3 linked regions of the Tribolium castaneum genome follow. The protein of the gene in region 2 interacts with the protein of the main gene of each other region in a pairwise test. Links are inferred from orthologs where the notes say so. Each region holds a gene or a part of one and is shown on either strand. Other genes may lie near its edges.

Evidence for each region.
Region 1: the proteins of centrosomin (region 2) and aurA interact in a two-hybrid assay, tested with the Drosophila melanogaster proteins (2 studies listed by BioGRID). The link is inferred for Tribolium castaneum from reciprocal best matches to the Drosophila melanogaster genes cnn and aurA.
Region 3: the proteins of centrosomin (region 2) and Plp interact in a two-hybrid assay, tested with the Drosophila melanogaster proteins (4 studies listed by BioGRID). The link is inferred for Tribolium castaneum from reciprocal best matches to the Drosophila melanogaster genes cnn and Plp.

The regions. Positions count from the first base shown.
Region 1 is NC_087394.1:2,112,381-2,116,588, forward strand, and holds the start of aurA (aurora kinase A), read left to right. Parts: upstream 1-1,397; 5' UTR 1,398-1,482; coding exon 1,483-1,909; intron 1,910-4,123; coding exon 4,124-4,208.
Region 2 is NC_087398.1:12,873,776-12,878,081, reverse strand, and holds the start of centrosomin, read right to left. Parts: upstream 2,815-4,306; 5' UTR 2,660-2,814; coding exon 2,535-2,659; intron 1-2,534. UniProt on the Drosophila melanogaster protein: Core component of the centrosome throughout spermatogenesis. May participate in mitotic spindle assembly and the mechanics of morphogenesis through an interaction with microtubules, either directly or indirectly. Is a target of several homeotic genes.
Region 3 is NC_087399.1:2,048,046-2,052,246, forward strand, and holds the start of Plp (pericentrin), read left to right. Parts: upstream 1-1,397; 5' UTR 1,398-1,720; coding exon 1,721-1,744; intron 1,745-1,799; coding exon 1,800-2,711; intron 2,712-2,757; coding exon 2,758-2,885; intron 2,886-2,932; coding exon 2,933-3,389; intron 3,390-3,445; coding exon 3,446-3,562; intron 3,563-4,201. Other genes in the region: facilitated trehalose transporter Tret1, read right to left, coding at 1-465, 515-551.

The sequences.
Region 1 (4,208 bases), on a different chromosome or scaffold from region 2:
CGAACAGCTGGTAGGATTACGTAATTTGCGATAATATCCAACAAATGTGCTTTGTTGTCCCGATTAGGGAAAAAAATCAGTGATAAGTGGTACAGGGACTTGGAAATAGGCACCAAGTGGGGTCGCTGATGTGGCAATGCCATCTAGGTATATTGTATCAGAATGGCACAAACTACGTAAATTTGTATTACAAGAAAACAAAATAACTTGTTTTTAGATGTTCACACCTTTAATAAATTTTTTTGGTAAAGTTGTCTTTTTCGCCTATTTTTTCTGTGATGTCCGAAAAGGGGTGATCAGGTAATAATCCGTTTTGACCTGATAAGATGCGGTGCCGAATTTCTAGGACTCGAACACGTAAAGAGAGGGTGCCCGGTATTTGGGGATTCAATAGTGCCCAATTTATGCACGCCTGTTATCATAACTCGCCTGTTTTGGTAATAATATTGTCCGATTTTGGGAAATAGAAAATAAAGATGCAATAAATGATAATTTACTGGACACCCTTCACAGAATTCTTGTGAAAAACATTTTAACAAAACACATGGGCGGTTTATGGTTTATGGTTTACGGTCCTTTTAAGCAAACGCCGCCTGATGCGCAAAATAGCTTTAAACCGTTTGTTGTCGGTGGAGAAAAGGAGAGCTAGGGATCATAAACTAAATGAGGGGTACGTACATTTCGTTCATGAAAAATTATTTAAAATTGGAACTCGTAGTAAACGATTCTACCGAAAATTCTTTTCACTTATCACACAGTTGTGTAATTATAATTAATGAAAACAGTGATAGTACCAAGTTGATTGTAGTCTGACTGTTCATGTAAAGCTCTAATAAATTGAGTATAAATGATAATCTGTTAGCAGGCCCGGTAATTCAGCCTGATTTATTTCCGATTTTAATTCAATTTCGGATATATTTTTTAACATTGTTCCGACAACTAAAAGGCCATAATTTTATTTTTGAAAAATGTCTTTTTTATTGTTGAATTGGTGGTCAAAAGGGCATTGTGTGACAAAACCGATTTCGGGGTGAAATGGGGCGATAGTGCATTTGCGGAGCTATAAATATTGAAATTAGGTGAAAAAGTGGGAAAAATTAAGAAGCAATTTGTGGTAAATAATTGAGTTTTTCGCTATTAGCAAAGTGACTTTCTTAAAATGTCATTTTTAAGAGGGTGTTTAGTGTTTTTTCGGATTTTTATTTTATTAAACGGTTTCAAAGCTGACAACCAAACATACATCTACGCAAATTGAAACGTATTTTGCTAGTGTGAAACTGGCTTCATGTTCGGGTTTCTTCGGAATTTCGAGGAGCTGGTTTGGGGAGCTGTCTTCACACAAATTTGTTTTGGGTTTTTCGTGTTGGAGTGTTGGCAGTTGAAAAACCGTTGACTTACGAAGTGACAATTCAAATTCGAACTTATCACAAGTTGAAATTGTGCAAAAGTGTTAAGTCGGAGTGAAGTGTTTTTGTTGTAAATATGTCCCAAAGGAAGGCCCCCGTGTGCCAAAACAAGGAGAACAACGTTCCGCGCGCCGCGGCGAAAAAGGGCCCCCCGGCGCAAAAGGGGGCTCTCTCCGAGAACAAGGCCCAGAAGGGGGCTGCAAGTGACACGGCTCAGGAGAGTTCGAAGGGGCGGCGTTGGACCTTGGCGGACTTCGATATCGGGAAGCCCCTCGGGCGTGGTAAATTCGGAAACGTGTACTTAGCTCGCGAAAAACAGTCGAAATTTGTCGTTGCGCTTAAAGTGCTGTTCAAAAGTGCGATCAAAGACTTCAATAACGAGCACCAAGTGCGGAGGGAAATCGAGATTCAGTCGCACTTGAGACACAACAATATTCTGCGAATGTATGGCTATTTTCACGACGAGTCGAGGGTCTACATAATACTGGAATACGCCCCCAATGGTAAGCCCCCACGTACAGTGGTCCAAACTGCTCAAAACCCGCCAGAAATTGGTGAAATCATTAAATTTCATGTGTTTTATTAACAAAAAAACACATTTAAATTGGGGCTCAATAAACAATGAATGAAAAACAAGAGTTATTCGGAAAAATCTTCTAAAAGAAGAGCCTTCTGAAAGTTGCAAACTAAGCATTTTTGAATGATTTCAGTAAATGGTTGAGAAAGATTTATAAAATTTGTGGGTTAGTTATTACATTAAGTTAAATGGGGAACAAAGTTACTACTAAAAGCTGTCTTAACTAAAATAAAACCATTAACTACTATTTTAAAAAAACGTCTTGAGGTCAATACATTGGATACGGAAAAGTGGCTGACTATTATAAACTAAATAAAAACAATTTAAAACAATAAAATTTGTTTTTTCCATTCCCAAAAAAAAATATTTTCAATGTTGAAAAATCTGGAATGACGAGAGTAAGCTTTGAATTATCAGTGTTAAGAAGACTTTAAACTAAAATTTTTAATTTATGGTGCACTGAATTTGAAGGCAAAAAAATGTTGGTTTTTGTTACCAAATTAAATGAAAATGTATTTTCACTGTTTATTTGTTATGTCAGTAAAACTATTTCGCATTGTTTTGTAATATTATATTATATGAAAGTAGATTTAATTTTTATACTTTTTTTTACGAAATTTATTTTGATAAAACTTTGTAAATCGGTAAAAAAAGTCATGTCATATATACGAGAAATTATTATATTGAAAGTTATTACTAAAGTTCGGATTCCTAGCATTTTGCTAATTAAGCTTTTCTTTTTCAAATGAACCAATTTTCTTAACTTTTATTTGTCAGTTTGGCTAAAAAACTATGCTTTTATGCCAAAAAGCGTTTTTTCTGCTATTTTTATGCTAAGGTTGATAATTCTCAAGTTTTTTCAGTGTTAATATTATATAATAGTTTTAATTTTTCAAACTAATGAACATTTTGAGACGTCTTGGCGAAAAGTTTGACGAATGAAATTCAACAAAGTTGAAAACAGAATTTTTAAAAAATCGTCCTCGAATTTTTTTTGTACTAACAATTTTTTTAATAAAGGTTTGTTTTTGTAAAATATTTGATAAATAAATTTTATTTTGAATAGCACTGAAGTTTTCTTTAAAAAATGAATTAAAAAACTAGTTTTCTCCATTCATTCGAATCAATATTTTCATTGATAAAAAATCTATGGAATGACAACAGAAACACCTAAGCTCGACGTTTTTGTGATTTTATAAAAAAAACAAAAAAAATGGTTTAGACTACAAAGTTGAATGAAAAATTTATATTTATGAGTTTTTTGACATATTATTTATTTGTTGTATTTAAATGTGTAATATTGTGTATAAAAGCAGATTCATTTTTCACTTTTTTATTACTAAATCTATTTTTGTTAGCTATATATTGTTATTATTCTTACTATTATTTTGGGTTTGAAAAAAATCAAGGTGGCTGCGCTATTTAGAATTTAAATAGTCTGTTTTTTGGCATTTATCAAAATCTAACGAAAAAAGGGACCTTTTAACACAAATATTTTTTTTCAATTAAAATTAAAATTTCGAGTTTTTAGTTAAAAAAAAGTGAAAAAGAACATTTTTTTGACCTAATTTTTTCTGGTCGAAGACGTGCTTCATGTTTTCCTAAAAACGAAGAATTTTAAATTTGTTGATAAAAAACTAATTAAAATTAAATAATGTTCATTTTTTTAATTGTCCGCCAGTTAAAGCGAATTCACAACAAAAAAATAAAAAATTAATCGTTAAAAAAAATAAAAAAATTACGTGATTTTAAACATACAGAATTTTAGACAAAAAGGTAAATTTTTACCATAGAAACGTGATTAAAAAATTACCATCTTTTTTGTTTTTTGTAAGTTTGAGCGCATAGAACATGCTTAAACATTCAAAAGAACTCAAGAATAATGTAGTTTTCAACATAAATACCTGTGGGTGATTTTCTAGCCAGTTTGAACAAAATATCGCTAAAAAAATTACGTTGTCTTCCAATTTTTTTGAAGAAAAACATCGCGGTATTTTTGTTCCAATACAGTTTTTTTAGGAATTTTTTGCATCGTTGTTTTAGAAATCAATTAATTAAATTAAAAGAACATTTCGGGGGTGTTTTCCCCACTTTGGACCACTGTGCCCCCACTTTCCACCTTGATAACCCCCCTGTTTAGGCACATGCTACAAGGCGCTGCAAGCAGCCCCCAACAGGCGCTTCCCGGAGGAGACATGCGCCCGCTACATCCGCCAAATTGCGGA
Region 2 (4,306 bases):
ATTAGAAAGTTTCAAAATTCGAACAAACAGTCTTATCTTTCTTAGTAATCCATTTGAGGAAAATAAACATGCGGTAGCAACCCTTCCCTGAGTTATTTTAATAACCTCTCTTACAAAGAAAGCTTTAATCACTTTGTAATTCTAGTCAACACTTAATCCCCGATAAAGATTAAGTATCCTTCTTGAAAACATTCTCTTGTTTCGCGTTCCACCGACACCAGCTGGCCAATTCAGGAAAACGCCCGCTAACGTAATCAAACATAAACAAACATCACTCTCCTCTAGTTTGAATTACGTTATCCACAAATGTAAACATTTACATTTATTTAGTATTGTGCTCAAGCCCTTGTTGACCGAACCAAAATTGATAAATAGGGTTTATTCTTATTACGCCAACAAGGGAACAACCTGACGGTTTATGACTTCTGGCTAGTCATAATAAAATGTGACTGAGTTACAAACTGTGGAGAATAATAAAACAAATCGACTGAAATTTCAAGTTTACACATGGCGAAAATTTAGGCAAATATGTGTCTAAATAATAAACCTTGAGAGATATTTATTTCACATTTTCCAAATATGTGCTCACAATTTTCCTGATTTATTTGAACAAAACACCACACGTGTTTGTAACTGAAGTCAAAACATCCCTAATATACAACTTCCTTAGAGATACTCGATGTTTGTCTTCCGCTTTGTTGGAGAAACAGTTCAGTAGCAAATAGAGATAAATGAGAGGCAACAACAATTTTGGATGAGTTTTGTCGACTGAACTGATTATGCAATTTGTTGTTGATTGAAAAAAGGCGCAGCAGTGTTTGTTTTTAAAACCAGACAAATCCCAGTTTATCAAAATCTAAATGTAAGTTTTTCATCTTGTGCGGTAGAATATCTCACCCTCGATCCTTTGAAGTATCCATTACACACAGCCATGTTTTTATGCCCCCTTTATCTCACTTCCTAAGCACAGACAAGACAACTATAATTAATTTTAGGCCCATCCAGCTACGTAAAAAACGTAGACTAAAATAATAACGATCTTAAAATGAACATGAAAAAAAAAGTAAAGAAGGTAAATGACACGTGCCGACAGAAAAGATAAAGACAAAGGTGCACTGAATAAACACTTCTTGATTTAATGCGAGCTAGGGACTGTATAAACATTACAAGTTAATGATTTAATTGGCCATTAAAGAATCGGTTCCATATTTGAACGAAGGTGTACACTGTAAACAATGAAAATTACAAGGTGTGTGTGCAGGTGTACTAAAATTGTAAAACTGTCTTAAAAATAAATTATGCATTTTTCGCTTCGCCATATAAAGTAAATTCTTATCTTTATTTTCCTATGACTGTTCCCACGACTTTACGCAACTTTCCCAAAGTAGGAAAACCGATTACAACAAACTGCAGTCTGATATTATTTCATTCAGAACGCGTCATCGCCAGCCGTATTTTAATTCAGATGCAGTCAAGTCACATAAATTATCTCATCGCTCCAGATAAGCCTCGTATTTCCTTCAACAACAAAAAATATTTCCTTTCAGCATCGAGAAAACGTGCCATCTGCTCGACGTCCCCATTAAAATGTCAACTTTTTCTGATAAAGACATCCGTAAATGGCCAAGAAAAGCGCTTTCTGTTCGTGTCGTTAATATCGACAAGGGCATTTTCATTTAGTTTATTAATTCGTCGGCGGCTATCGCCTACTTGAAAAGTTGAGCGCACTGTTTTCGGGTCGAGTGGTGAAAACGGGGTAGTGGAAATGCACGTGCAATTGATTTTTCCACGTGATGTTCAATCTGGGTCAGAGTTGAGGGCATGTGGGCGAACAGATAGAAGAGACCGTGGGTTCAGGTGGTGATAGGGTTATCAACGACATGGGGGCCAGCAAATTGTACCACAGAAATTAACATTTGTGTTAAAAGCTCAAAAAGTTTCAATTTTTGAAATCGGATGTAATTTTTATTTTATTTTTTGGCTATTTGAAAACGGATTTTGAAATACAAATAAAAAATAAAAATAGAAATTATCCTAAAAAACTTCATTTAATTTAATTTATTAGAAAAGACGCATTTCCATTTGTAGACTTGTTTAATAGTAATCCAACAATTATTTTAAATTTTGTGGCAAAATTAGAGATTTCTGATTATTTGGAATGTTGTTGCAAATCGGAAATGTTTATTATTTCCGAGAATGTAACAAAAATGCACGTGTGTTCGTTACAACCGACTCATAGACCACTTTTGTATATATTTTAAACGTTAAAAACCTTGTCCGTTATCACGGAGTTCCACTGTATAAACATAATTATAGAATAAATAGTTAAATAATTATTCATTATTAAATTTATTTTGTTAGCAAATTAGGTACAAATTGGATTTTTTCAACCCTCATCAAAAACTTGATTCAGTTTTGACCTGCGCTGGAATTTTCCTCCCCTTCGCATCCCAAAGACGATGACTAAACCCACTACAAACTACAACAACCCCTCAGCATTTCCGAGCAGTAGCCAAACACTTGGCAAAACTTACCAAAAAGGACTTGTAGGGGACGGAATAATTAAAGGCCTCGAAGGCGGGCTGTGAAATCCACTATAATTAAAGAACGACATGATTTCAAGCACTTGAAAATTTATGCCACTATTACGAGCGTCCATAAACCGAAGTTATTTTTAAGGGGGCATTTTTTCTTTGCCCTTCTTGTCTCACTTTAAAACGTGAAATTAAAATTAATAATAAACTTTTCGTAGTCACAACAAACCGGCGCACTTTACCACCACTCTATCCTCTCTACACTTCTCCACTGAAATGTTTGGATTCGCTTGACGCAGCCTCAGGTCGTGGATGGACCATGCGTGCGCTGCCTAGTTTCGACAAACTACACTCAAAATGTCTCAAATCTAATCCGTGTGTATGACAAAGACACAAAATCGAGGAAGAGATTGTTTTGGCCAAAGTTGTGGTTTGAGGTGTATCGATTTCGGGGGAAAAACACGTGGGCGAGCATCTTATTACGCAAAAATAAATTTTTAAAATTAATGGGAAATTGTAGCATGTATGAAGAGCTCTTAAAGCGAAATGACGTTAGATTTTCTTTTCATCATTAATTATTAATTAATCAGTGGTGGCTATAAAATCGTCAACGTGATTCACTGATTCCTACTTTAACTTTCAGGAAATTAAACAAATTTTTTCTGATTCAAAGTTTTTATCAAAAAACCCATTCCCAACCTATTCTTTAATATTAATTTATTATTACTTCATTACTACTTAAAAAAACTGAGTAAAAGTTTCTAGTTTATAGAAATGGGAATTTCGGATAATAATGATAATTTATAATGATAACATTGATAACAGAGTGAATAACTTTTAATCACTGTTTATATTTATTTTAATGTAAATTTTCATTTCCACTCAATTTCAGTCACTTCTGTATTTAGAGCTTATTCCAAATCTGGTGGCGAAGTGACATTGCCAAAAGTAACAGAATTTTGGCATTAAACATGTTCTTTCTATTCGGAAATAAAATTAACTAGACGCCCTCTGGTGATGACTTTTGAACTATGTCGAAAACAGTAACGAAATTTTCGTAATTCCACATTTAATTGACATCTAATAAATTGTTGAGCAATTTTGCGTGTATAGTGTTAATTGCTTACATTGGAGAGAATCACTTTAAAAGTACGTGGTGGTAAATACTAGCTTTGACTTTGGTTCTGCGGTTTTTCGTGGTATAAAGTGTTTGTTGTTGGAATTTGAAAGTGGATAAAAAGTGTAAAAGATTTAAATTTTTATTACAAAGTGTTATCAAACAGTTGTCTAATTAAAGACTATAGTAATGGATCACTGCGAACACAAAGTTGGGCTCAAGAAACCAATAAATTAGTGAAGTTTGTGAATTTTAGGTTAGAATTTTTCCACTGATAAAATCATGAAATACTTCGATAAATCAACAAAACTACAACTAAAATTAACAACTGCTAATACACTTAAACGTAAATTATGCCAAAAGGTGGGCTTTTCAATGTCTTTGTAATAATTTTTCAATAAAGAAAGTGAACCAAAAAGTCATTCATTATTCGTGTTTTCCTCGTCATCTCCAATTTGTCAACATTCGTTTCTTCCACCAAAGATACAATAGTCATTCCGCATTGGCAATGTAATAATTGTGAAGCCTCAAAATTCGTACAACGCTCAAAATATCCGAATAAACATTTTCCCGCCATTTATGGTTACTGTTTTCGACCTAGCTCAGTGGCGCCCCCAACGGTAACTTTACTTCCGAATTAAATAAAATAATGCCC
Region 3 (4,201 bases), on a different chromosome or scaffold from region 2:
ACTGAACGGTCAAAAACGGCCCCACGGCGTAGTCGAAAAGCACCCCAGAGGCGATAAACGTCGACATGAGACACCCCAAAGTGCCGCGGTTGCGGTCCTCGGAGATCTCCCCCAGGTACATGGGCATGACTGTGAAGACGCTCCCCGCCCCCACACCCATGACCAAACGCGCGATGTAGTAAAGTACCACCGAATGGGCGAAAGCCATGGTCAGGAATGACGCAATTATGGGCAAAGCCACGATTAGGAGCGTTTTTTTCCGCCCGATTTTATCAACAAAGAGACCGGTTAAAAGTGGGCCGAAAATAGCTCCAAGTGATAGTAAAGACGCGATTAGAGACTCCTCGGAAGGGGTTGGGGGTGGGTCCAGTGGGTTGTTATCGGGGTCCACACTTCCGTTGAGTCTCGGGAGGAGGGGGGACGCCAACCCGTAGGCAAGCCCCACAGTGAACGCAATCAAATTCGCTGGTAAAAAATTGGTTACGTTCGATTATGTGACTATTGGGGGACTTACCCACGCACGCGGTATAGTACAAGTAAAAACTGGACATTTTCGGTTAAATAATGACGCGAAAATTAAATGGGGACATTTATTAAATCGTGTTATCTTTACAAGCAAATCAATGATTTACAATGGTCTAGACGGATCAAGGTATTACAATAGTAATTTTTATTCATAAAAGACGCATATTTGCAGCTCAAATATTTGTTTGGTTATTGCGCAAGTTGTCCGGTTTGAATTTGGTGCGTGAAAATGACAGGTCACTTGACCTACCGGTGAAGATAGCACCATGAACATTATAGTCGACCCACCATACAGCCAAGTTCACACCAAGAAAATTAGCAAAATAATCGTAAATCATAAAAACATCAATAAGCTGTTACGATGACTTGTATATCACATTTGTAGAACATCTCCTGACCATTCAATTAATTTCTGCATTTTTTATTCACATATTCAAGCAATGCAAACTGATTTTTTTCACCCCCTTTTATCCCGCAATTTTCTTTATTTTTCCAGGAGAATAAGCCCTTTGATAGGGCCTTCGACTGTAAAAAAATCATGTTCGGACAAACACCCCTTGGGACCTTAATGAATTTTTAAAGATAAAGTTTACGAAATCGGGAAATTTTAAAGAATTTTTGTCCGAACATGATTTTTTTACAGTCGAAGGGCTTAATCTCCTGCAAAAATAAAGAAAATTGCAGGATATAGAGGGGGTGAAAAAAATCAGTTTGCATTGCTTGAATATGAGAATAAAAAATGCAGAAATAAAACGCAGTTAAATTTTAATTTGTAATAGGAACACATTAGAATGGTCAGGAGATGTTACAGCTTATTGATGTTTTTATAATGATTTACGATTATTTTATTAATTTTCCTGGTGTGACCTTGGCTGTAGAAAAAATCGTGGGTACAGTTGGTCGACTGTAATGTTCATAGTGCCAGATGTCGGCTCAATCGCCCAATTCCTAACCGTAAAATTTTCAAATTGTTTGCTTTTTGAGTGCCGTACTTCGTGTCATTTTGTACAATTAGGTGCCATTTCGTCCCAATTAAATTAAATAAAAATTCTAACGTCCCATTTTCCCAATTTGTCGCCAAACCAATCAATCAAGTCGCCTATAACAACAACAAACAAACTCGAAAATGTCACACTTGACGTTTGTTGCAATTTTATTTATTGTTTAATGGGTTAAAATAAACCTTTGTGGCATAATGGAGGGCGATTCGACCAATCGGGTAAGTGTCTTATTAATAGAACGTGCAATGTGGGCTAAATATAGACTTCGGCCAGGAGGGTGCCCCCCTTGGAGACTCCGGTAGTAGCAGCTTGACTCTGTCCCTAACCCCGCCTTTGTCCGAGACAAGCACGATCTCCGAGCACCTATCAAGCGTCGAAAACGACCGTTCGTTGCCAGAGCTGCTCGTCAATTTCCCCCCAGATGAGAGGATCTCACTGGAGCCCAAACCGCCATCCCTTAGTGATAGTTACACGAGTAGTTTCGTTAGTCTAAACGGGCTAGAGCGCTTCATTAGTACAAACATGGAGGGGCGGACACACGCTCAAAGCATCCTCGAGGAAATCCTAAGTAACGACCAGTTCAAGTCCGATTCCGACGAAAGCTTGAACATTTTCGCCAACGTGGACCTCGACGACAAACTCCTAAACAGTTACAACGCCGGCAAAAGCGTCAATTTCGACCTAAACGACGAGGTTTGCAAACGAGTCAAAGACTTTGAGGATTTGATCGCAGTCAAAAACACCACTATTGCCGCCCTAACTTCCGAACTCGACTCATTTCGCGAATTGTTGAGCAACACGTCGAGTCTGGGGACCACCACCACCGAGTACAAACAGTTCCAAGAGGAATGCCATAATAAGTTAGTCGAGTACCGCGACGCTATTGTACATAGAGACGAACAAATCGAAAAATTGACCAGTTCGTTACAACAGGCGATTTTAAATCGCGAAGAAATGAAACAACACTTTAGGAGCGAAATCGCGCAGTTGCAAGAACAGCTGGAAAAAACCTCAAACTTGCTCAAGGACCACAAAAAATCGTTTGACTTTGACGAGATTTGCGCGCAGTTTGAGCACAGTTTGGGGCCCCCACAGTTGGCGCCTTTCGGCGAGTTGAAGGCGGCGTTCGCTAGTTACGTGGAGATGAGCAAAAGGGCGCTCGAGAACGAGATTAGCAATCTGAAGGTTTGGTCAAGTCACAAAGTGATAATTTTTTAATGTGTGTTTTTAGACCAAGTTTAGTTCGGATAAAGCCCAGTGTGAGAGCGAGATTAAGAGCGAGTTGGACGCCAAACATTCGAAGGAAATGGAGGAGTTGCGGACCTACTTTGAGAAGAAATGCGCCGATTTGGAGAAAAAGTTTGTTTGATTTTGTAAAAAAATTTGTCGTAATTTTGCAATTTTAGTTACTCGGAGGAGGTGTTCAGTCAGCAGAGCCGCAAAATGTCCGAATCGAGTTCGTGTTCCGAGCTCAGTTCGGACTTTGTGGGGCCAGGGGGCGACACTAGAGTTGACTACACAAGGAAGGATTTGGTTAAATTGCGCCAGAGTTTGGTTCAGTTGATTAAAATTTTCGATGGTTTCAATTTGGAGGATTTGTCCGATTCCGATTTTGAGCGTCTCACGTCCGAAATTGGCAAATTTGAGTTTCGGAATTTGCTCAAGTTCGATTTAAGTCTCATGAAGAGTGAGCTGCAGAATAAGTATCACGCTGAATTGGAGATTTTGAGGGAGGATTACGATAATCGTGTCGATGAGTTAAACGTTGAGCATGAGAAGAAATTGAAGAGTTTGAACGAGGAAATTGACGATCTTAATCGGCAGTTGAGGGGTCGGATTGTTACGACTAGTCAACAGGAAGTTGTAAGTTTTGTGTTGGTTCTAATTGTGTTTTTGTGTACTAACTGCATGACTGTTAGGCGAATTCGGGCGAGTTTGAGATTGATGAAGTGGTGCAAAGCTATGAGAGACGGTTGCAAGAACAAGTCACTCTAGCTAAAATTGACATCATTGCTGCGTTAGAATTGCAGATACAGGTAGGTCGAGGGTTGTGTGTTGGGAGTACGGACTCGAAACCAAGTACAAAATCGCTCCAAATCGTTTTAAATTAGTCAAAAGACTGAAAAAAACTGACGACTAAAAATTATGGTTAAATAATGGTTAAAAATACAACAAAAATGTTAGAAAAAAATTGTAGAGTTAAATTCCTTACAAAAAATTCTACGAGACCAAGCCGATTTTAACAAAATATTTGACATCTTTACACTTAAAATTTTAAAACAGAGCTTGATTATTGACGAAATGTGGTTTTGCGGCTTATTTTGACGGAATTTTGCTCAAAAAACAGCTAAATCGGGATAAATTAACAACAATTTCAATTTATTTTGTGATTTTTAGCTGTGTTTTCAAAAGTTCTTGCAAAATAAATCAGTCTCAACCTAAAGAAGATAAGATAACATTTATTTCGAACTAATTCTGTAATTACTCATGCAATTTTACGTAAATTTTTCGAAAAAAATTGTTAGTTTCTCAAAGGCTAAAATAACATGACTTTTCGGCCTGTTTTTAATGAACTTTTCTGGAAAAAAGTGCGTTTTTGACTGGATAACGTGCCTGGAAAAGCCAAAAATAAGATAATTTTGGATTTAAATTGGTGATTTTTCGGTTCATTTCGG